4 linked regions of the Arabidopsis thaliana genome follow. The protein of the gene in region 1 purifies or fractionates together with the protein of each later gene. This does not show direct contact. Each region holds a gene or a part of one and is shown in the gene's direction. Other genes may lie near its edges.

Region 1 (5,860 bases):
GTTAGGTCTAAGACATGGAATTGGAGTTTATACGTTTTATACAGGAGATGTGTATGCTGGTGAATGGTCTAATGGGCAGTGCCATGGTTGTGGTGTATATACCTCTGAGGATGGAAGTAGATATGACGGAGAGTTCAAGTGGGGTGTCAAACATGGCCTTGGTAGTTACCATTTCAGGTCAGCATTGTTCTTTTTTACTCTGCATAGTCATTTGAGTTTCTGGAATATGGTTGTGCTTTGACCTGTAATGGTGGTGCATTAGATCCCTGTATATGTTGCTCGTCTAAGTGTGTTTGCTATCTTGAGTTCCATTGTTTTTGAAGGGTCGTGTAGTTGTCTTTCTCTTTATTGTTGCCCTTGTTCACTTGGGTGTGTGAATCTGGAGGACCTCTGAAAGGTTTTCAATTTCGATTTCTGACATCAGATGGATAACTGGGTTTTGTTTCCTGCTTCTTGTGGTTATCCTCACCTTATAAGCTAGTCTAGTGAACATCAAAGTTTAGGCTTTTGTGTTACTCTCAGTTAGCATTGATCTTAAGCAATTGCATGAAGCACTGGTGGTCCAGTATGCTTTAGCGGTACCATGGCTTTAAAACTACATTTAACTTGGAGTTATGCTGCTGTTGCAGAAATGGTGATGCGTATGCTGGGGAGTATTTTGCAGACAAGATGCATGGTTTTGGAGTGTATCACTTTGCGAACGGGCATAAGTATGAAGGAGCTTGGCACGAGGGAAGAAGGCAAGGGCTTGGTATGTATACTTTCAGGAATGGTGATACACAAGCCGGTCATTGGGAAGACGGTGTACTCAGTTGTCCTACCGAGCAGACTATCCGTCCTGGATCATCTTTTACCATAAGCCATTCCAAAGTTGTTGATGCTGTTGAGGTAAAAGTTAACTAGTAGTTTATCTTTAGTACTGCAAACACCATATATGTATTAAACTAAGCTTGTTCTCTCTTTCTCCTTCAGCAAGCAAGGAAAGCAGCTGAGAAAGCACATGAAGTTGTGAAAGTGGAAGAGAGGATCAAGAGAGCGGTGATGGCTGCAAATAGAGCAGCGAATGCAGCTAGAGTAGCAGCCGTGAAGGCTGTCCAATCCCAGACCTTTCACAGGAATGATGGCGATCTTGAAACCAATTGTTGAGCATAGGTTAGAAGAGATCTTCCTTAACAGGTTTTCTTGTTCCTTTATGAGCAAAGCTAGTTTGAAACTGTAGATAATAAACTAGAGATGATCTTTGTATATCAACAAGAAAAAAATTGGGTCTGCTTCATAGAATGCAACTGACATACATGTAGCCAAAAATCCCTATCTTGATTAAACAATTAGAAGAATCTGGTATATCAGTCTTATAACAAAAGATGAATCTGGTCTTGAAAAGTTGTGTATGAGTAGAAGAAGTCTAGCTCTCAGTTTGTTCTCTGAGCCTTCTGATGGTACTCCTAACAGTTACAGCACTAGCAGTATTCATCGTGTAGGCACCTCCAGCCTTAACTTTCCCACAGTCCTTACATCCCCAAATTCCAACAGCCTTCCGTTTAACAGCATACTTGCCACAGAACTAGCAGAAGTATTTGCTGTGCTGACTCACTTCCATCTTCTTGATTTGCTTCCTAAGACTGGCACCATATCTGGTCCCTTAACAGACAACATTTCAACAGATTCAGAAACAATGTAAAATGGGCTGAAAATCTGAAATCAAAAGAGGGATCTTATGATTCACACAGCAGACAACATCTCATGCTATGAAGCATTTATTTGAATGAACTAAAAGCAAGGATTTAGGCCGTTTTTATTTGGGCCAAGCTAGATGACATTATACACTTCCCTTAATTAGTTGAATTCGGTTTTTCTTAAGTACACTTTTTTTTTTTCTTTGTCCTAATTTTTCTTATTTTCAAATTTAGTTTGGATTTCGATTTTTGCATTTACCGGTTTGTATAATAAATAAACGATTCTAATTTAATGAAGGACTGAAAGTTTTGTTTCGTTTTCGAATTAATTATTATGATGTGCTCTTTATTTTAATTTCATTTAAAGTCAATTATCAAAATTAAGCTAATGTAAAGAGTGTGGATCGTCAGATCTGGAGAGGTGACCAATCGTACGTCCCAGGTTATATGAGTTCCAACACTGACAAACGATGTCGTGGCGGGTCCCACTGGTTTTCGGTAACGCAGTTTTTCAAAATCTCTCATTTTCGTCCCTTCGAGCCAAATCAATGGCAAAAAATTAGCTTTTAGAATTCCCCAAGAACAAAAACAAAAAATGTCCGAGAGAAATTAGGGAAAAACAAAACAAATAAAATCTGGGTGTAGGGGAGAGAGAGCTCGTGCTCGTGATTTTGATATCTATCTCTTCGTTATCGATTTTGAACATCCACATTGTTCTTAGATCTGAAGAAAAAAAACACGGGTTCTGTTATTACGATTTGCTCGGCGATTTTGACACCAGGCTTTCAATTCTTTTCGTTGGAGGTGATTCGATTTCAGATCCATCGGATCTAATCTCGGCGAGTCGATTCGTGGTCGACATTTTTCAAAAACTGCTCGCGTGGATCTGAAGAAGAGACATTGTTGTCTTTTGTATATCGGCACTGAATTTTTCTGGGAATCTGTGTAAAGATGGATCCAATATCAGCGGTTAGCGAAGAGCTGGCTGAGATCGAAGGACAAATCAATGACATCTTCCGTGCTTTATCGTGAGAATGAATCTCTCTCTAGCGTTTTCTCTCCATTTGTGATTTGGTATTTGTGTCTATATAATAATGTTTTGATGTTTTTGTTTTCTACAGAAATGGATTCCAGAAGCTGGAGAAGATCAAAGATGCTAATAGGCAGAGTAGGCAGCTGGAAGAACTCACTGACAAAATGCGTGACTGTAAGAGGTATACATTCATTGAATCTGGTGTTTGATTATCCAATGATGATGATGATGATGCCTTGTTCTTCTTCTTTGCAGCCTTATTAAAGATTTCGATAGGGAAATCAAAAGCTTGGAAAGCGGTAATGATGCCAGCACTAACCGGATGTTGAACGATAGACGACAATCTATGGTTAAGGAACTCAACTCATATGTTGCTCTTAAGAAGAAGTAGGTCACACTTTTGCTAATTGCTTAACTGATGCTCATATTTATGGTGATTGATGATAATGAGGATGGTTATACAGATACTCATCAAACCTAGCAAGCAATAACAAGCGAGTAGATCTTTTCGATGGACCTGGAGAAGAACACATGGAAGAAAATGTCTTATTAGCTTCAAGTAAGTCTTTAAATCTCGTATTTTGCGACCAACTAACAATGAGATAGATATTTATTGCACTTTGTTGTTATATGATTACATACAACCTAACTAGAGTATTTACTGGAAACTTAATAACTCTCAGACATGTCCAATCAAGAGTTAATGGATAAAGGAAACTCAATGATGGATGACACAGATCAAGCTATTGAGAGAGGGAAAAAGGTCCGTTTTCAGATTATATGAATGTCTTATTGTCTCTTGAAATTTCAGTCTAATGTTCATGGAGCCGTGAATGCCATGTGATAACTTGTGTCCATTTTTCCATCTTCACTAAAGCAAAATCTCACTGCTTTTTTTGTGTCTGTGACAACAGATTGTACAAGAAACTATAAATGTGGGAACAGATACTTCAGCAGCTCTCAAGGCTCAGGTGTGTAGTTAGCCCACACTTGTTTCTTTCCAAACAGTCCTGCTTCTACCTGAATCTCATTTTTTTCCAAGATTGTGTATTTGTGTGTGAATTCTGAGAATTATTAAGATAGTTTACATTTTCCTTGTTCAGACCGAGCAAATGAGTAGAGTTGTCAATGAGCTCGATTCTATTCATTTCTCACTCAAGAAAGCCTCCAAGCTGGTCAAGGAAATTGGTAGGCAGGTTAGTCTCATAAATCTCCTTATTTCTTCTTTATATCATCATTACTTGTTATCTGCAGCTCCTTCTTGTCCCTTTCACTTACTCTCTGTCCTTCTTTTATCAGGTTGCCACTGACAAATGTATTATGGCATTTCTTTTCCTTATCGTCATTGGTGTCATAGCAATCATCATCGTCAAGGTACATCTCATCTCCTTTCTTATTCAAATGTGCACACACACTTGGATACTTGTTTGAGTTAAATAGATTTCGGTGTTCATCATTATTTTTTCTTGAATAATATGAGGTTATGTTTTTTACTTTGCTGGATACCTTGTTGATCGAAGAACCTATAAAAAGCACAAATACCCACAATTTTGTCTTTCTCCATTATTCAGTTATGCAATATATAAAGTTGTCTCCTATGTGATTGTTAATTTGATCTCACTTCTAGATTCATCTGCAATATCTTTCCTTCCAACGCTGTTATCTTGTTCACATTATCATACATGTAACTTCTTCTTTTTATTTCTTTTGTATAGATTGTGAACCCAAACAACAAAGACATTCGCGACATACCGGGTGTGGGCCTAGCTCCACCAGCCATGAACAGACGTCTGCTCTGGAACCATTACTGAAAAAAAAATATCTCATTTTCACACCATTCAAAATACTGGTACGTTGCACACTTTTTTGTCCCATACACATCTTGATCCTCCCCTTAGTCATGTTGTTGTAGATGAAACCGCCTCACTTGAGAAAGTAACCAGTTTCGATTCACATGGCTCTTGGCTGCTGCACATTTGAGCAGTCACAGGAATCAAATTCCCTTTCGTTAAAAACCCAGGATCAAAACCATCTTTTTTAGCTCATGTGTTTGTATAAGGATGACTCTTTTGTGTTCTATCATATGTACGTGTATTTTTAAAACGTCTTCTCTGTTTCATGTTCTGGTAATAAAAACTTGTTTCACTGGTTCAAAGTTGTAACTGAGTTGTATCATATCCGATATATATTAGTATATGACTTCACTCTCATTATCAGCGAAAAAAATTACGGTAAACAGACCAAAAAGTCTTTACAAACAATGACCAAAAAAACAATACGATTTTACAAGCTGCCGAATCTACAAATTGCACTAATCTGTATCATAGTTTCATGTAACAACAATGATGTTTTTAGAGTTTCTAATAAGAAAATTTTTAATTGATGTAACAAAAAAAAATGTGTAGTGTGGGAAATTTTAATATATATCAGTGAGTTTAGATAAAAATTTGAAAGTTTTAACTACAATTACTAAATTAACCACGTAATAGTGAGTCGTAAATCTACAAAGGATATGCGAGGGATCGATAATCAAGGCATATAATTCGGAGCTGATGAGTTAAGCTTTAGTTAGTTTGACTAACTACGGTTATGGTTAAGACTTAAGCAGAGTGGGGCTTATTAGTGGATTAATCTTTATTTGATTACTCCAATATTAAAACCTTTATCTCTCCATCTCTCTCTCCTTCACAACAAGCAACTGAGATTCAGAGACAAGAAAATGCAACGCGAGAAAACTCAAACGAATTTGCGTTTGGACGAAGGAGGAGGCAGCGTTTGGCAGAAATGCTCAAGACACGAAGGTCGTTTTGTCTGCGTTGCCGGTGTTTGTCCTTATTGCCTCCACGAACGCCTCTCCTCTCTCTGTCCCGATTGTGCTCACGATCTTCCCTGTTCGTGTACTCCACGCGCCTCCGTGTCTTCCCGTGGAGAAGGTGACGTTTCGTTCGCCCGTATTGGGTCGGTTGGCCGTGTTGCCAACTTGATTGAATGCGAACCGGCGTTTCGGAGGTCGACATCGATTACGGGTCCTTATTTCTGGTCTGCTAAACCGGAACCGATATTAGAAACTGAGAAGGATCTTAAACCGGGTCGTGGACGTTGGCTATGGAGATTGTTCAGAGGAAACAGAGAAGAAGAGACGAAAATAAAG
Region 2 (4,831 bases), on another chromosome or scaffold:
GATCCATAAAACCAACACATCAAATTGAAAACACATGAACCCTAAACCAAAATCTACTCTTCAAGCCAATAATTCACAACAAAATTAAAGCAAAACCCTAAAAAACTATTCTTTCAACAATTAGCTCTCAGGATCTTTCTAATTAGATCTCGCATGTAATGGATTATAATATTTCAGATAAACAAAAACGAAAACACAAAACATTAAAGTCTACCTGAGCTGTGATAGCTGATGATCTTCTGAAGCTCTCGTCTTGAGAATCTCCGAAAACGATCTGTTTTCCGTAAAATACACTTCTAAGAGGCTTCTGACTCTTAAGCTTCAGACAAGAGAAACTCTTTTTCAAACCAAACCCACCAAAACTCACCGGAGAGAAAGAGAAATCATCAACACGGTGATGATTACCACAAGCTCCTAAGAACAAACTCGTTTTGCTAATCACTTCCGTCATATTATTCTCTAATCAGAAGAAAAAACAATATCTGTCTCCAGAATATACCAGAAGAAAAAGAAAAAGTTCTCACAGAGACGACGTGTCTTCTCAGCAATCTTTAGTCGCCAGCGAAGTTTCGCTTTCTTTCTCAGGAAAAATTAGCTTCACGAGAAAATTTATAATCGAAAAAAAAAAGTTTAAAGGAAAGAGAAAAAGGCCTCAAGGTTAGACATTTCTGGACAGGAAACTGTTTTCTTTTTCGTTAAGTGATCTTGACCGTCCATTTTGGATTTGGAATTTTAAGATCTAACGGTGGATTAGTGATTATCAGGTTTAGTCGGTCAGAAGAAAACTAATAAATGGATAAGGTTCATGACTTCTCGCAGATATAAAGGAACAAGTATAGGAAATTTTCTCATGACTTTGAATACATTTAAATGGATATGTTTGGTTTTTTACCATGCTTTTATCTGAATACAGAGTTTTAACTATGTTAAGTGGATATATATTATTTTGAAGAGTATGTTTAGCCAATTTAAGTAACGAATTTTAAATTTACCTATATTAATATTAAACAAATGGATTATATAGGTCATGAACCAAACAATTTTGAGAAAAATAAATGATACAGTTTCATCCTCAAACATTTATCAATCAAGTAAACAACAAATTAGGCGATGAACCACCAAAATGAAAGATTATTACTTTATTAGTCATCTGCAATCAACTAGTGAAGGATTTTACTACCAAACAAAAGAAAAAAAAGTAGTGATGGATAAATGGATTTGGATTTTAAGGAAGATAGTTTGCCAACACATCACCCACGTGGGTCTCACTCTCTCCACCACAACTCTCTCCTTTAACCTTTTTTATGAACTTTATATTATTGGAGATTTGCAATTGCCACCTCTTTAACAAAATAATTGGAGATTGCCCTTTTTAGTTTTTTGGTTTACATCTAACCCCCTCAATTCCACATTGCACAAGTTTTCGATCGATTCACGACAATAAGTAGAACAAACGTAACAAATGTGACTAGAGTTGAACAGCCAAAACAATCGAAGCAACTTTATTTTAATGTAAAACAAGCGTTATGTAATATTTTTTTGGGCGGCAAACAAATTTACTATATTTAATTACAAAAACAGAATAATTTTTTAATTAGAAAACAAAAAGTTTAAACAAAACAAATGTGACGAATGTAGAATAGACAAAACAATCCTAACAAATTTGTTTTAATGTAAAACAAGCGTTACGTAATCTATATATTTTTGTCGGTAAACTAATACTATTTTATAACCATGAAACGTTACAAAATTTAGTACATACTAACGTTATAGTAATGTAGTGACACAGTTTTTAAAAACATTTTTCAAGCATTACAGAATAAATATTGAATTGCGACTACAATAAATATTATTAAATTATTTTTTTATTCGAATATCATAAGGAATTTAATGTGATTAGTCAAAATTTTGGGTATTATTAAGTTTATAGAGATATGATGTACATTTTATTTAAAATTTGTCTACGATATTGAAACAATTTTGAAAATATTACAAGAAAAATAAAAACTGATTTCAAGTTTAGAGACCAACAAGCTAGTGGAGATGTTTTATTGGAGAGTCGTTTACATACGAAATTAGAATTAAAATATTATATATTTGAAAATATCCTAATAATTTGAATGGTTCAACTAAGGTGTATCGTAACAAAAGAAACTATACCATAAGTTTTCCAACATAAAAAACAAAACACAAGAACCACAATTTTTGTATAAATGGTGACAAATGTGCAGCTAAGAACACCTCTTCTTTGCTTTCGTAAATCGTCACCAATGATGATTTGTCGACAAAAGCGATGTCATACACATAATTACAATTTAGTCCCTATATTTTCTTCTCAGTTTCGATATCTTTAAAGCTGTCTCAATCACACACGTCGGCACTAAAACATACATCTAATTACAATTTAGTCCCTATATTATTTTAAAGTTTCGAAAGAAATTCACATGAATTTAAAAATAGATTTGAAGAAACAGAAACAGATAGACAAATGGACGACAACGGATACATCGCCAAAATATAGCCGTTGGGGCGAAGAAATCACAGTAACGGCTAATTTCTCCTTTTTCTTATATTAGAAAGAAAGCTTTCTCTCATCTCACAAATCGCTAATCAAATTCTATAGTAAGCTTTACTTCACACTACTCTCTCACTTTCTGGGCAGAAACTTTGTGGATCTAGAAGAACACACTAATCAGAAGAGTATGTTGTATTTTCTTTGATTTTCTCTTGTTTGATTCTGTTACAATCACTGCGATTCTCTCTGATTCTTGTAAAATTGTTGACTTTCAGGTGAAAAAGATGAACGACTTGATGACGAAATCGTTTATGAGTTACGTTGACTTGAAAAAAGCAGCGATGAAGGATATGGAAGCAGGACCTGACTTTGATCTTGAGATGGCTTCTACGAAAGCAGACAAGATGGATGAGAATCTGTCATCTTTCTTAGAAGAAGCAGAGTATGTGAAAGCAGAGATGGGTTTGATTAGTGAGACGCTGGCTCGGATCGAACAGTACCATGAAGAGAGTAAAGGTGTTCACAAGGCAGAGTCTGTGAAGTCTCTTCGTAACAAGATCTCTAACGAGATTGTGTCTGGTTTGAGGAAGGCGAAATCGATTAAGTCGAAGCTGGAAGAGATGGATAAAGCCAACAAGGAGATTAAAAGGCTCTCTGGGACTCCGGTTTATAGGAGCAGAACCGCTGTGACTAATGGGCTGAGGAAGAAACTTAAGGAAGTGATGATGGAGTTTCAGGGGCTGAGGCAAAAGATGATGAGTGAGTACAAGGAGACTGTTGAGAGAAGGTACTTCACTGTCACTGGAGAACATGCTAATGATGAGATGATTGAGAAGATCATCACTGATAACGCTGGAGGTGAAGAGTTTCTCACGCGAGCAATTCAGGAACATGGTAAAGGAAAGGTCTTGGAAACTGTGGTTGAGATTCAAGACAGGTATGATGCAGCAAAGGAGATTGAGAAGAGTCTGTTGGAGCTTCACCAAGTGTTTCTTGATATGGCTGTGATGGTTGAATCGCAAGGTGAACAGATGGACGAGATCGAGCATCATGTGATTAATGCGAGCCATTACGTGGCTGATGGAGCTAATGAGCTGAAGACTGCAAAGAGTCATCAGAGAAACAGCAGAAAATGGATGTGCATTGGTATCATTGTGCTGCTTTTGATCATTCTCATTGTTGTCATCCCCATCATTACCAGTTTCAGCTCTTCTTGAGATACTGGCTATGTTCACTCCTTTTGTTTTGTTTCGCTCTTCTTTGTACCAATGGATGTCTTAATCCTTTTGTGTTCTTCAAGGATGTCTTAATCCTTTCGTGTCTTGTATCCAATTTCAATGAAATGGTGAATGTTTACAAAGATACCCAGTTGACTTAATCCTCTTGATCATTCTAAATGTTGTCATCCCCATTGTTAACACTTTCAGCTCTTCTTGAGGTACTATGTTTACCAATCGTTGTTTGTTTCGCTCAAAGGATGTTTAATCCTTGTGTTTTCTGTATCCAATTGTTATGGAATGATGATGACTGTGTACAAAAATATTACTTTATATGAACCGAACACAGTATGTATAATATAGTTTGTACAACAATGGTGGTTCTTGTTTCTACCTGACCTTCCTGATTGGCAAAGCTTTCCCAAACAATTTTTCAACCTCACTTGCTTCCATTTTGATCTCATCCAAAAACTCCATCTCTTCTTTACTTAACTCTCTCACGAAATTCTCCTCGTCTTGCTTCAGTTCATTAAATCCTTCAGCCAATCTCTGGAACAAGGTCATCTCAGTCCTACCGACCTTCTCCACTTCCTTCTCTACCTCTTCTTCTATCTCTTCAACCTCTTTTACGATTATCCTTTCACCTTCTTCCACTGTCTTCTCAATTCTCTCCACGAGCGCAGGTTCAGGACCACATGTGTTATCCGTTCTAATGAATGTGCTGAAGTCTCTGCCTATGCTTTTTGCTGCTTTTTCGAGTTCTGGTATAATGCTATTGGGTAATACAGAACTTCTCGTGTATACAACTGCACCACCATATCCATCCCAAGCATCGTTTCGCCCACGGTAGTATACAAATATATAGTCTTCAGGTTTATTCTCTATCTTTGATGACAGGATATACCTGCAAAAATCATATGAAAGCTTGTTAGGCCAAAGAAGAATAGCAGCACTATCAAGACTCTCCCTCGTGGGTGGATACAAGATGTTATTACCAGTCATCTTGATAGTGAAGGTACTCGTTGTCATGATTGTAGAGAACACCAGGTTGGTTAGGATCTTGCACGAATTTTTGTACGGCTGACCTAGTAAAGAATCC
Region 3 (5,335 bases), 790 kb from region 1:
ATGCTTCTCACTCGAATAATTCATTGTGAATTTGGTGTCTGAAATATGTGTCTGAGGGATGGTTTTACTGATTTGGTAAACTCTGGCAGGGACGGGGATGGGTGCAGCAGCTGTGTTTGAGAGAGGAGATGGAGTTGATGAGCTTCGCAACGCAAGGAAAGTTGAAGCGCAAGGTCTTTTGTCCAAGGACGCTCGCTAGAGAGGACCATGCACCAAAACCGTTTTTCACCTCACCTCTCTCTTTTCTGGTCTTCTTGTCACTTTCTTCAGATATTATTATAGTTTCGAATAAAGCACACAACCAATGTTTGCCTGAGTCTTGTGTTGTTCTTGACCAGGTCATGTGTTTAGTATTTTTTTTAAGTGAAGGGGGATAATCTTTAAATCTTTTATATGTAAGAATATTGTTCTTCTCGAATTTCATCAGTTGTTGCTTCTAGAAATTTTAGATTTTTTGGGTGGCAGCCATTTCTATATTTCGATGGATAAGTCAAACGTTCATAAAGTCAAGGGTTCTGCCTTTTGTTTGTGTTTCATGATTTTACCTTGAATTTCATTAACTAAAACAGTGTTAATAGTAACAGTTGGGGTGGTGGCGCAGTTGGCTAGCGCGTAGGTCTCATAGCTACTGAGTGATCCTGAGGTCGAGAGTTCGAGCCTCTCTCACCCCATAATTTTATTTTCTCATAGCTATTTATATAACGTTCCTTCTAGTATTTTTTTTTCTTTTCGTTATAGTATCTTGTCTTTGATACCGGAGACGTTATAACGGCAGTATAAGACGTTATAATCATGTTCCAATGCATCCCCTCAGTTTTGTGTTAAAAACGAGCCATCAATGTTATCATATATGGAAATCATTATTGAGGCTTTGACCAATTAATTATGCGAATTGACCGACTTTGATCACTATACAGAGCAAAACAAATCCACTGAATCATTTATTTGTGTAGGTTCATCTTTTTTGGGCACCGTATTCATTTCTTATTCCATGAATTTGACGGAGTAATTTTGATTTTCTTTTTCGAGTAAGAATCTGGTCAAATATTCGATGAACCTCTACAAAAAAAATTAACCTCTATAAAAGTGTAGATTAACCAAGTGTTTCATCACAAACCATTTCAACGTAAACGAAACAACAACTACTACTCTCAACTTTACACTCTCTTGATAAGTCTCGATGATGAATAACATGAAGCTCTTGATCATCGCTGTGATGATCATCTCGGCAGCTTTGCTTCCAGCGCTTGTGGTCGGATCTCGTCCGGTAAAATGTGACAATTGCATGGACGGTGGAGAAAAAGAAGAGATCATGAAGATGAGTTCAGGTGTAGATGTGAGCCATAGGATACTTCAAGCTAAGAGATTTATAGATTACGAAGCATTGAAGAAAAACTTACCAGCCAAACCAGATGGTAAACCGGATAAACCGGATAACAAATACCGACGTGGTTGCAGTGCCGCTACAGGATGTTACCGCTTTACAAATTAAACATAAACCACCTCTCTCTTCTTCTTCTTCTTCCTTTCGTTGGTGTGTTTTATTTTATTTTTAATTAGTATTTCCAATCACATTTCTTATTATTATATTTTATTGCAATTTGTAAGCCTTTGAGGCATTATCTCCTAGAGAGTTAGAATAAACTTCGTTTAGAAATTGTCATCCTTTTCTCACCAAATGATTGACGAGTGAAAATTGATCTCATCGTAAAGTATTTTTGCGGTCAAGTTCAAACAAATTGATCCCTTCTCTCGCACCATATTCTTGTTTTATTTTATTTAAACGATCGATATATTTCCAAACCATTCCTCCAAAACTATCACACATTCACACCTACCAATTTCAACTTTAAATACAAAATATAGTCTTGTTGTAAATATAAGATACACTTTAGAAGTGTACACGTGAAATTCAGGTATATATATTACAATAGTAAGCAACCTCTAAGTACAATTAAATCAAGAAAAAAATAGATTTGAATTAATAGGAGCGGACATGGGATGCATGTAGAATTGTAGATTATCATTTATTATGGTGACTAGACCATTGAACTTTCCTATAACTTTGAAAATATTCTTATTTAGTCATTTAATTTAGATTACACCAAAACCCCAAATATGCCAAATTTTCTACAAATACCCCAAAAAAGACAATTTATAAAATTATTATCCAACCACATGTAATAATCTTTGATGACTTTTAAGTTTTAAATTTTAATAGTAGATTTAGATAATATAGGAACCAATTATTCAAAGGTCAAAGTTCAAACTAGCTTATCCAAATTCATTTTCGCTGATAAAAATACGTTGAAACTATCAAATAACAAAATACCATTACACCAACATCACCAACTTTTTAAAACCCCACAAGTTGATTATTTGAATTTGCTTTTAGGTCCTCAAGTTCAAGATTGTTTCAATTTGCACAATCTGCATAAATCTTTCTGAAATATAACTTTTTTGCCCTCTAAAACTCAAGGGTTTGATTTTTCTTCTTCAACTACGTTAAGATTTCTCCTACACTTTTCTTTTTCACCGTATTCTCTTTTAGTCCTCGATTCTCTACGCGTTTCAGCGTCAAGTCTTCTAGATCTCTAAAGCCTTCGTGCTCGCCAATATAAATCTCTGAGATCGGTCCCGTAAAATCGGATTCGCGTCGTTTTTGAGTAAAAAAAATGGCGCAACAATCGTTGATCTACAGTTTCGTCGCTCGTGGTACCGTTATCCTCGTTGAGTTCACAGATTTCAAAGGCAATTTCACATCAATCGCTGCTCAGTGCCTTCAGAAGCTTCCTTCTTCTAACAACAAGTTTACCTACAACTGCGATGGTCACACGTTCAATTACCTCGTCGAAAATGGATTCAGTGAGTCAAAATATTGCTCGATCTGTAAGCGTAGCTTGTTTGTGTTTTGATTTATCCATTGTTTGAATTAGATTTTTTGCCTAATTGAGAAATATGAATCGAGTTCTTATGTTTGGTATAGTTTCCAGTAATAATTATGTATTGGCGTTGATAATTAATTGATGTTAGATCTATGGTAATCAGTGATATTTTTGGTGGATCTATCAATGAATATTTGCAATTTTTGTTCTGGATCTATTGATTCTTTGCTTATTTGCGTGTAGCTTTCGATATCATGAAGTTTTTGGCATTAGTGTATTGTGTTCTTTATGTAACTCTGTTTTACTAAACCTAATTGGGTTTTGGGTGATGTTGATGGCGGATATGGTCTCTTTATGATAGTGTTAACTTTCTTATCAGCGATATATTGATGAATCTATTGCTTTATCTCTTAATATAGAGTTTAAAATGGACCGGTTTTGTTTTCGTTTGTGCAGCCTATTGTGTTGTTGCAGTTGATTCTGCTGGGAGGCAGATTCCTATGGCTTTCTTGGAACGAGTTAAGGAGGATTTCAACAAGAGATATGGTGGTGGAAAGGCTGCAACTGCTCAAGCAAACAGCTTGAATAAAGAATTTGGGTATGTGTTTTTTGATCTCTTTGATTGGTATTGAAAAGGGTCTATGATTCATGGGCATAGTTATTGATGGACTTCTTTTTGGCTTCTCTAAAGGTCGAAACTGAAAGAGCATATGCAGTATTGCATGGATCATCCTGATGAGATTAGCAAGCTTGCTAAGGTTAAAGCTCAAGTGTCTGAAGTTAAAGGTGTTATGATGGAAAACATTGAGAAGGTTTGATTCTGACCCTTTTTTCTTTTTATCGATATAGTTTTATGTTGTAAACCTTTTCGAACAGAGTTCAGCTTGTATGACTTTAGTACCAGGATCTTATGATTCGTAAAGCATAAACTGTAGAGAGGAATGTTTTATTCTCGGTTGTGAAGACATATTCTGTTGTTAACTCGTTTATGCATTCGTTTGCAGGTTCTTGACCGTGGTGAGAAGATTGAGCTTTTGGTTGACAAAACAGAAAACCTTCGCTCACAGGTTTGTTTTCTAAATGGTTCAAAGTCAATAGACCCACACAGAGACATGCAAGAGTTTGCAGCTTTCTCTTACTGATTGTTGTTTCTTGGGTTTCTAACTTTAAATTTGAACTCGACTTTATCACAGGCGCAAGATTTTAGAACACAAGGAACTCAAATGAGAAGAAAGATGTGGTTTCAGAACATGAAGATAAAGCTCATTGTCCTTGCAATTATCATTGCCTTGATTCTCATCATCATCCTCTCAATTTGTGGGGGATTCAACTGCGGTAAATAAGTCTGGAACATTTCTTCCCGGCGTTATCGACTGCGCTCTGTGCTTCCCAAGATCTCTGAGAATATCTTCATTCAGTTCGTTGTGCTACCTTTTTGTTTTGTTTTTGTTTTTGTGATTTCTATATTCTCATACTATATGTTTCTTCTTAGATTGTACTTCTTGAAATTTGTTTTGTATAGGCTATATATATTATACATATATGTATGCATGTTCGACAATCTGCAATGTTGCTATTGCTGGTACTGACACTAATTCTTGCAAACCAATATTTGGACGATACTTGTTCTTGGCAATTTACTAATTTCTTTGGTCTGTTGATGAGACTCTAGTTGCGGATTGCAGTGAGGTATAAGCATAGTCCACAGCCGGTTAATATTAAATGGAGATGAATATGTAATTAACACGGTTTCGTCTGACCGATTCACCAGAGTCTCCGGTTAGTTCATTAAGGGTTTGCTCAAACGCTTTCTCCTCTGCTTCCCTAATTTCGGAAACATTCGCCTGATTTTCTGAGATTTTGGAATTTCTTCGAATTGATTGCCATGCTGAGCTCAAGATTTCGACTGCTGAAATCGAGGCGACTTGCGGAGCCACCTCCGGCTGATGTCGCGGTTATGTGTATTTGCAGGAAATGAAAGTGATCTCCTTATTGCGGCAAATCAGCCACTTCCTGTCGACTAAAACTGTGGTGCAGCATGTAAGAACAAATGCAAGTTCGGACAAACGTGTTGTCTTGGTCAGTGGTTTTACTTGGCTTAGTCTTCGATTCTCTACGCGTTTCAGCGTCAAGTTTTCTAGATCTCTAAAGCTTTCGTGCTCGCCGATATAAATCTCTAATATCGGTCCCGTAAGATCGAATTAGATTCGCGTCGTTTTTTAAGGAACCAAAATAATGGCGCAACAATCGTTGTTCTACAGTTTCATCGCTCGCGGCACCGTAATCCTCGTCGAGTTCACAGATTTCAAAGGCAATTTCACATCTGTCGCTGCTCAGTACCTTGAGAATCTTCCTTCCTCGAACAACAAGTTTACCTACAACTGCGATGGTCATACGTTCAACGACCTCGTCGAAAATGGATTCAGTGAGTCAAAATATTGCTCGTGATG
Region 4 (5,641 bases), on another chromosome or scaffold:
TAAATGTGGTTTTTTTTGTTTTTAACAGACAACTAGAAGAGTATACTGGTGTTATTACGCAGATCAAAGGGCGCATCAAACTGGTAAGTTCAAGTTCTTATCTTGCTTTGTGATAGTAGTCAATCATTTGTCTTATGAGGTTGAATTGGACTAGAAAATCACTATTGCGTAGGAACCCTGCATCAGACGGATATATGAAAGTGTCATCGGATAAGTATTAATGTTAAATTACCATTGCAGGCTCATTACCAGATTCAGCAAATACTCAATCTTCCTGAAGAGAATCCGTCATCCCGGCAACGTGCGTTTTAGTACACTACCTAGTGGAAAGTTGAGGATTTTCTCTTGCAGTCTTATCTTCTCGATTTGTTCTGCTTACTGTTTTGAGTTTTTAAAGCAGAGAATTAACTTAGTTTGTTCAATACTAACTCTTTCTCCGGAATGGACCAAACTGTTGGTGTTAGATAAACATATCGATTAAGCAATCAAAACTTTATAGAATGACTATTGTTGTGGGGGTGAATAGTGAATCGCACTCTGTTAAATCTGCCATTTCTATTTTAAATATTAATAATCACATGTTAGAACTTAGAAGATCATTAACAGTTTAACACAGCTGATGAAGAATGAAATAAAAGTATGAACGAAACAGATACAAGATAATGATATTCCACGTCAGCAAAGTGTCCAAATATCTTCCGCTTCCCTGTCTTCGTCGGTCCCTTTTCGGTTTTCACGGTAAGGCTCGGAGGAAAACCTAATTCGTCCGGAGAATCTCCACCTCACTCTCGCCAAACGCATCTCTGTTGTAGGTAAGTCACGGATCTTCATTCTACGCTAATTGTTATTGTTATCGTTATTCTTGATCTGGGCGTTTTTGTGGAATTTGCATCTAAAATTAGAAATTTGGATACCAAAATCCACTCCAATTGAATAAGGTTTCTGAAGAATTTTCGTTTGATTTTGAGATCGAAAATTGCGTTTTCTCGTTTTTGTTTTGTTATCGCTAACGCATCAGGTCATATATCTCAAGTTTATATTTTGTGGCAGCTTGTGATGGATCCAACACAGAACACAAGTGCAGGGATTGGTGGGAGCAATGGTACAATCAGATATCAAACCAATGATGGGACTTCAACTGTGACCGTTGCTGATGATTCAAAGGAGAATCTTTCCCAAGTCATAAACTCTATTGAGAAAACTTTAGGAGTCCTTCATCAGTTACACCTTACCGTCACTTCTTTCACACCCGCGTCTCAACTCCATCTCCTCCAGCGCCTGTAAGTAACTCCTCTACTCATCTGTGTTTATTGTTTTGGGTATTGTAACTATTGTTTGAATGAATATGTGTGTGTGTGTGTATTTGCAGTAACTCTCTTGTGATGGAGCTAGATAACATGACTAAGTTGTCTGAGAAATGCAACATTCAAATCCCCATGGAGGTTCTTAAGTGAGAAAACAAGTCCTTTTTGTTTTTAGTATGCACTTTGAAGATAGATACTTTTACTTGCTTACTTATGTTTGCGTTTTCGTATAGCTTGATTGATGATGGGAAGAACCCGGATGAGTTTACGAAAGATGTTCTTAATAGCTGCATAGCTAGAAATCAAGTTACTAAGGGCAAGACTGATGCTTTTAAGGTGACTCCTTTTCTTCTGATTCTTAATTTGTGTATGATTCTTAAGGTTACTGAGTCTCTTAATCAACATTTTGTTATAAATAGGATTTGAGAAAACATATTCTGGAGGAGCTTGAACAGAATTTCCCTGATGAAGTCGATATGTATAGAGAAATCCGTGCTAGTTCTGCTGCTGTAAGTTGTTAACTTCGACTAGTATTGTACATCTTCATTAATATATTATAGTAAGTCAAGGGGATTAAACAGTTTTGGTCATATTCAGGAAGCGAAACGGTTGGCGCAATCGCAAAGTGTGTTACCAAATGGGGATGCAAAGGTCAAGAATGAGCTATAAGAGCCCAAAGGATCCTTTTTATGTTTACCTTGTACTCTTGTAGAATATAATGACTGAGTCGATGAATGTGATGTAACACGAACAATCCCAAGTGGAATTTCTAATAATATCTGTTGGTTCTCTTCACCTGGCTAATATAGTTTGAGAATCTCTGCTTGTTCCCCCCATTTTTACTCGAGTGGACTATCTTACTCTTAGCCTCTGAGATCTCTTTGATTTCATGAGACTATCAAAGAATCCCACATAGTTACGCAAAACAGATTCGACTTCTATCAATGGATTTGTCTATTTCCTGGACGAGTAATCTTGGTTCTGCATAAAATGTACACTATTTCCGAGAGCTGAAAAAGTGAGAAAAGACACTTAGATTTCAATCTTAATTAACGGTTTGATTCGGTTTGGTTTGTCTCACCTACATTTGCATCGATTGCAGCATGGGGGACTTAATACGCAGTGGCTGACACGTGTCAATATAAAACGCACCGCTTTGTTTGATTGTTCCTCCTTGTCCCCGAGCAGAGAAATACAAAGGAAGAAGAAGAAGAGTTGTTTGATTATCTTTAAGCAAAGAGGAAACTGTTTTGCTTCTAGATCCGATCCAATCCAATCAAACAAAGGATCCGATTGATCAGAAAAAATCCACCAAATTTCTCAAGATCGAAACATATAATTGAAGATGAGCGACGTATTTGAAGGGTACGAGCGTCAATACTGCGAGCTCTCAACCAATCTCTCTAGAAAATGTCACTCTGCATCGGTTCTCTCCAACGGAGGTAAAATCCAGACGCTCCCGATTTCGGATCTTGAACGCGAGATCTTCGAATTTACCTGATTTTAGAAATTCGAATCTTCGAATTTGGGGTTATTGGAGCTTTTGAGCTGTGACAAGTAGCTGGTGGACTAGTGTTCTTTACTAATCGTCCTGACTTGTTTAGGATCTGACGAAGTTTTGTAACATTTAGGAATGTTGAGACATAGGATCTGTTTCTCATTGCTTGGATTAGAAGACGATAACCTAGTTAGGTCTAGATAGTTATGTAGTTGCATAGATTTATTAACTTGTTTCTCAATCTATTTCATCTAATTTTGTCCGAATTTGGGGGTATTTGTAAAGTAGAGGTGCATGAGTGTTTACTAATCGTTTTAGCTTGTTTACGATCTGACGAGTTCTGTAGTATCTGGGAATGTAATTTACTTGGATTGGTCAAGTAGTTTTGTGAAGAAATTAAGACTGAAGATAAGATCATAAGAACCTAGTTATGTAGCTGCAGAGGTTTATTGAGTTGGTGTTTTTTTTCATTTGTTTGTCAGTCTATGGTTACCACTGTCTTTCTTGGAGTTATAGTACATAGACATGCATGGAGTTGTTACATTTTGTGGTGCCATAGAACCAGAGTAGAGGTTTGATTAGATATTGTTGTGTGCTTTTATAGAGGAGAAGAAGGGGAAGATTGCTGAGATCAAGTCTGGAATAGACGAAGCTGATGTCTTGGTATTTGCATTTAACTTGCTTTAATGTTGTTACCGTTCTGTTCTTTCTTTTTTAAAATTAATATATATGCTTCTGTGGTTTTTTTGTAGATCCGGAAAATGGATCTTGAGGCAAGAAGTTTGCAGCCGAGTGCTAAAGCTGTGTGTCTTTCTAAACTAAGAGAGTATAAATCTGATCTGAACCAATTGAAGAAGGAATTCAAACGAGTCTCTTCCGCAGATGCTAAGCCGTCTTCCCGTGAAGAGTTGATGGAATCCGGAATGGCGGATCTGCATGCAGTAAGCTTCTAACTCCTAAATAGAAACTCTTGTTTTCTCATTATCTTAGTTGTCTTAATTGACTTGCATCAGTTAGGCTTCTTTGTCCTGAGGGGACCCTCCTTTATATTCATCTTCACACAAACTTTTAGATGGCAAAGACTTTGCTGTGATTTACATTATTGTCCATGTTCCAGGTATCTGCTGATCAAAGAGGAAGATTGGCAATGTCCGTGGAGAGGCTTGACCAATCAAGTGACAGAATCAGGGAGAGTAGAAGACTAATGCTGGAGACAGAAGAGGTTGGCATCTCAATTGTCCAAGATTTGAGTCAGCAACGCCAAACCCTCCTTCATGCGCACAACAAGGTACCGTCTACAATTGCTCGGTTTGGTATCTATCAGTGCCAATGATTTGTTTGAATTAGATCATTGAGAAGCTAACTTTTCTGATTTTGAATCACAGCTTCATGGTGTGGATGACGCCATTGACAAGAGCAAGAAGGTGTTGACGGCTATGTCAAGGAGAATGACTAGGAACAAATGGATCATTACATCGGTAATCGTGGCTCTCGTTCTCGCCATCATCTTGATCATCTCATACAAGCTTTCTCATTAATATACTCAAAAAACATTATTCATCGTGATTGTGTATATATATATGATGGTTGATTTACTTTGTAATGGCCCAAGTGGTTACTTGTATTTTTAAGTACGATGTTTGTATTGAAGTGGCAACACTTTTAACATTCATAAGGTTTCCCAAGTCTTTTCTTTTTTGTCTTTTTTTCCAAAAAAGTGGTACTATTTTATATAAAGCAGATGTTTCAAAAGTTACAACTGTGGAAACTTCCACTTACATCTCAAGTCCAACCTTTGAAAACTTACAACAATGTAATTCCAAAAAGAACAAACACTCCATTGCTCAAAACATAAGGTTTTCCAAGTCTTTACATGAGCCAAAGATCTATACTTATAATGTTTTAAGAAAACTAGGACACCTGACACATCCTTGCCGGACCAATCATCTTGCCGTGATCACCAGTCGCAGGCAGGAGACCCACTGTCACGTCAGAGCATGAAACAAAGGCCTCTCCTTCTATCTCTCTATTTAAAATAACATCAAACATTCACGACACCAAAAAATACACACAAGCCAAACATAACAAGTAAAACTATCCCCGAAACAAATAGTTTTATGCAGTCCCGGCCCGTCCATAACGCAGCTAGAGCATGTGTTTCTGTCGTGAATTATGTTTTCTATGATCTCAGCCCCTGTTATGTTTTAAACCACACGTTCTGGTCTTCAAACTCGTTAACCCATTCCACCCTATAAATCCCTTCTTCGTAAGCAGGGATAGATTGACGAGTGATTGAAAATAATCTTTAATGATCAAGAATTTCCTCCCATTCGCCGGAAATAATTCACTTAACCACCAAATGAAAGAGTTTTGAGATTAATTAATCTACTCTTTAAAATTTTAGGCATATACACTTGATTGATGTGATGACAAAATGATTTGAGTACTAATCAAGTACAATCACTACAAAAAAAATGTGTGTTTTTACATCATTTATTTTATATATTTTTATTAGTTATAAACTTATAATTGATGGCAAGAAAAACATTTACATCACTAAAAAAAGTGACTTTTGAAAGTAGTGATGCAAATATTTTGTATCGATTCTTGTAAATCGATCTTAACATATATCAATTACAAAAAATAATGTTAAAATTCGCATCATTTAATTTAAATGATGTTAATATTTGTAACATATATAATAATTTATGCATGCCAATATTTCTATTACTTGTAAACAATTGATGTTAAATTAGTTATCAGTTTTCATAATTGATTCAAATAATTGTGTGATTTGAAATAATTAATTTCTACATTAATTTAAAACATTGTAATTTCA

What was found.
Region 2: the proteins of NPSN11 (region 1) and SYP111 purify together in Arabidopsis thaliana (affinity purification with western blotting; 2 studies listed by BioGRID, with this or other methods). This does not show direct contact.
Region 3: the proteins of NPSN11 (region 1) and SAR1 purify together in Arabidopsis thaliana (affinity purification with western blotting, with the first as the bait; one study listed by BioGRID). This does not show direct contact.
Region 4: the proteins of NPSN11 (region 1) and VTI1B purify together in Arabidopsis thaliana (affinity purification with western blotting, with the first as the bait; one study listed by BioGRID). This does not show direct contact.

What each region holds. Positions count from the first base shown.
Region 1 is NC_003071.7:14,828,460-14,834,319, forward strand, and holds NPSN11 (Putative plant snare 11), read left to right. Parts: upstream 1-2,166; 5' UTR 2,167-2,627; coding exon 2,628-2,704; intron 2,705-2,797; coding exon 2,798-2,890; intron 2,891-2,964; coding exon 2,965-3,096; intron 3,097-3,173; coding exon 3,174-3,268; intron 3,269-3,392; coding exon 3,393-3,472; intron 3,473-3,623; coding exon 3,624-3,680; intron 3,681-3,812; coding exon 3,813-3,905; intron 3,906-4,008; coding exon 4,009-4,083; intron 4,084-4,424; coding exon 4,425-4,520; 3' UTR 4,521-4,958; downstream 4,959-5,860. Other genes in the region: AT2G35170 (Histone H3 K4-specific methyltransferase SET7/9 family protein), read left to right, coding at 1-177, 630-888, 973-1,146; AT2G35200 (DUF740 family protein), read left to right, coding at 5,429-5,860. UniProt on the Arabidopsis thaliana protein: t-SNARE involved in diverse vesicle trafficking and membrane fusion processes, including cell plate formation.
Region 2 is NC_003070.9:2,708,679-2,713,509, reverse strand, and holds SYP111 (syntaxin of plants 111), read left to right. Parts: upstream 1-2,509; 5' UTR 2,510-2,700; intron 2,701-2,790; 5' UTR 2,791-2,799; coding exon 2,800-3,732; 3' UTR 3,733-3,985; downstream 3,986-4,831. Other genes in the region: ACHT4 (atypical CYS HIS rich thioredoxin 4), read right to left, coding at 215-451; NPQ1 (non-photochemical quenching 1), read right to left, coding at 4,123-4,636, 4,728-4,831. UniProt on the Arabidopsis thaliana protein: Involved in cytokinesis. Acts as a cell plate-specific syntaxin, required for the fusion of vesicles at the plane of cell division.
Region 3 is NC_003071.7:14,042,678-14,048,012, reverse strand, and holds SAR1 (synaptobrevin-related protein 1), read left to right. Parts: upstream 1-2,469; 5' UTR 2,470-2,675; coding exon 2,676-2,889; intron 2,890-3,341; coding exon 3,342-3,483; intron 3,484-3,576; coding exon 3,577-3,697; intron 3,698-3,889; coding exon 3,890-3,952; intron 3,953-4,078; coding exon 4,079-4,228; 3' UTR 4,229-4,554; downstream 4,555-5,335. Other genes in the region: PKT3 (peroxisomal 3-ketoacyl-CoA thiolase 3), read left to right, coding at 90-199; RALFL18 (ralf-like 18), read left to right, coding at 1,181-1,492; VAMP723 (vesicle-associated membrane protein 723), read left to right, coding at 5,121-5,310. UniProt on the Arabidopsis thaliana protein: Involved in the targeting and/or fusion of transport vesicles to their target membrane.
Region 4 is NC_003070.9:9,213,454-9,219,094, forward strand, and holds VTI1B (Vesicle transport v-SNARE family protein), read left to right. Parts: upstream 1-2,316; 5' UTR 2,317-2,649; coding exon 2,650-2,746; intron 2,747-3,406; coding exon 3,407-3,465; intron 3,466-3,554; coding exon 3,555-3,743; intron 3,744-3,919; coding exon 3,920-4,090; intron 4,091-4,187; coding exon 4,188-4,340; 3' UTR 4,341-4,557; downstream 4,558-5,641. Other genes in the region: AT1G26660 (Prefoldin chaperone subunit family protein), read left to right, coding at 29-83, 241-312; AT1G26665 (Mediator complex, subunit Med10), read left to right, coding at 1,057-1,280, 1,370-1,450, 1,538-1,640, 1,724-1,813, 1,902-1,973. UniProt on the Arabidopsis thaliana protein: Together with either SYP41 or SYP61, required for membrane fusion; the fusion of phospholipid vesicles containing SYP41 or SYP61 and VTI12 is triggered by YKT61 and YKT62.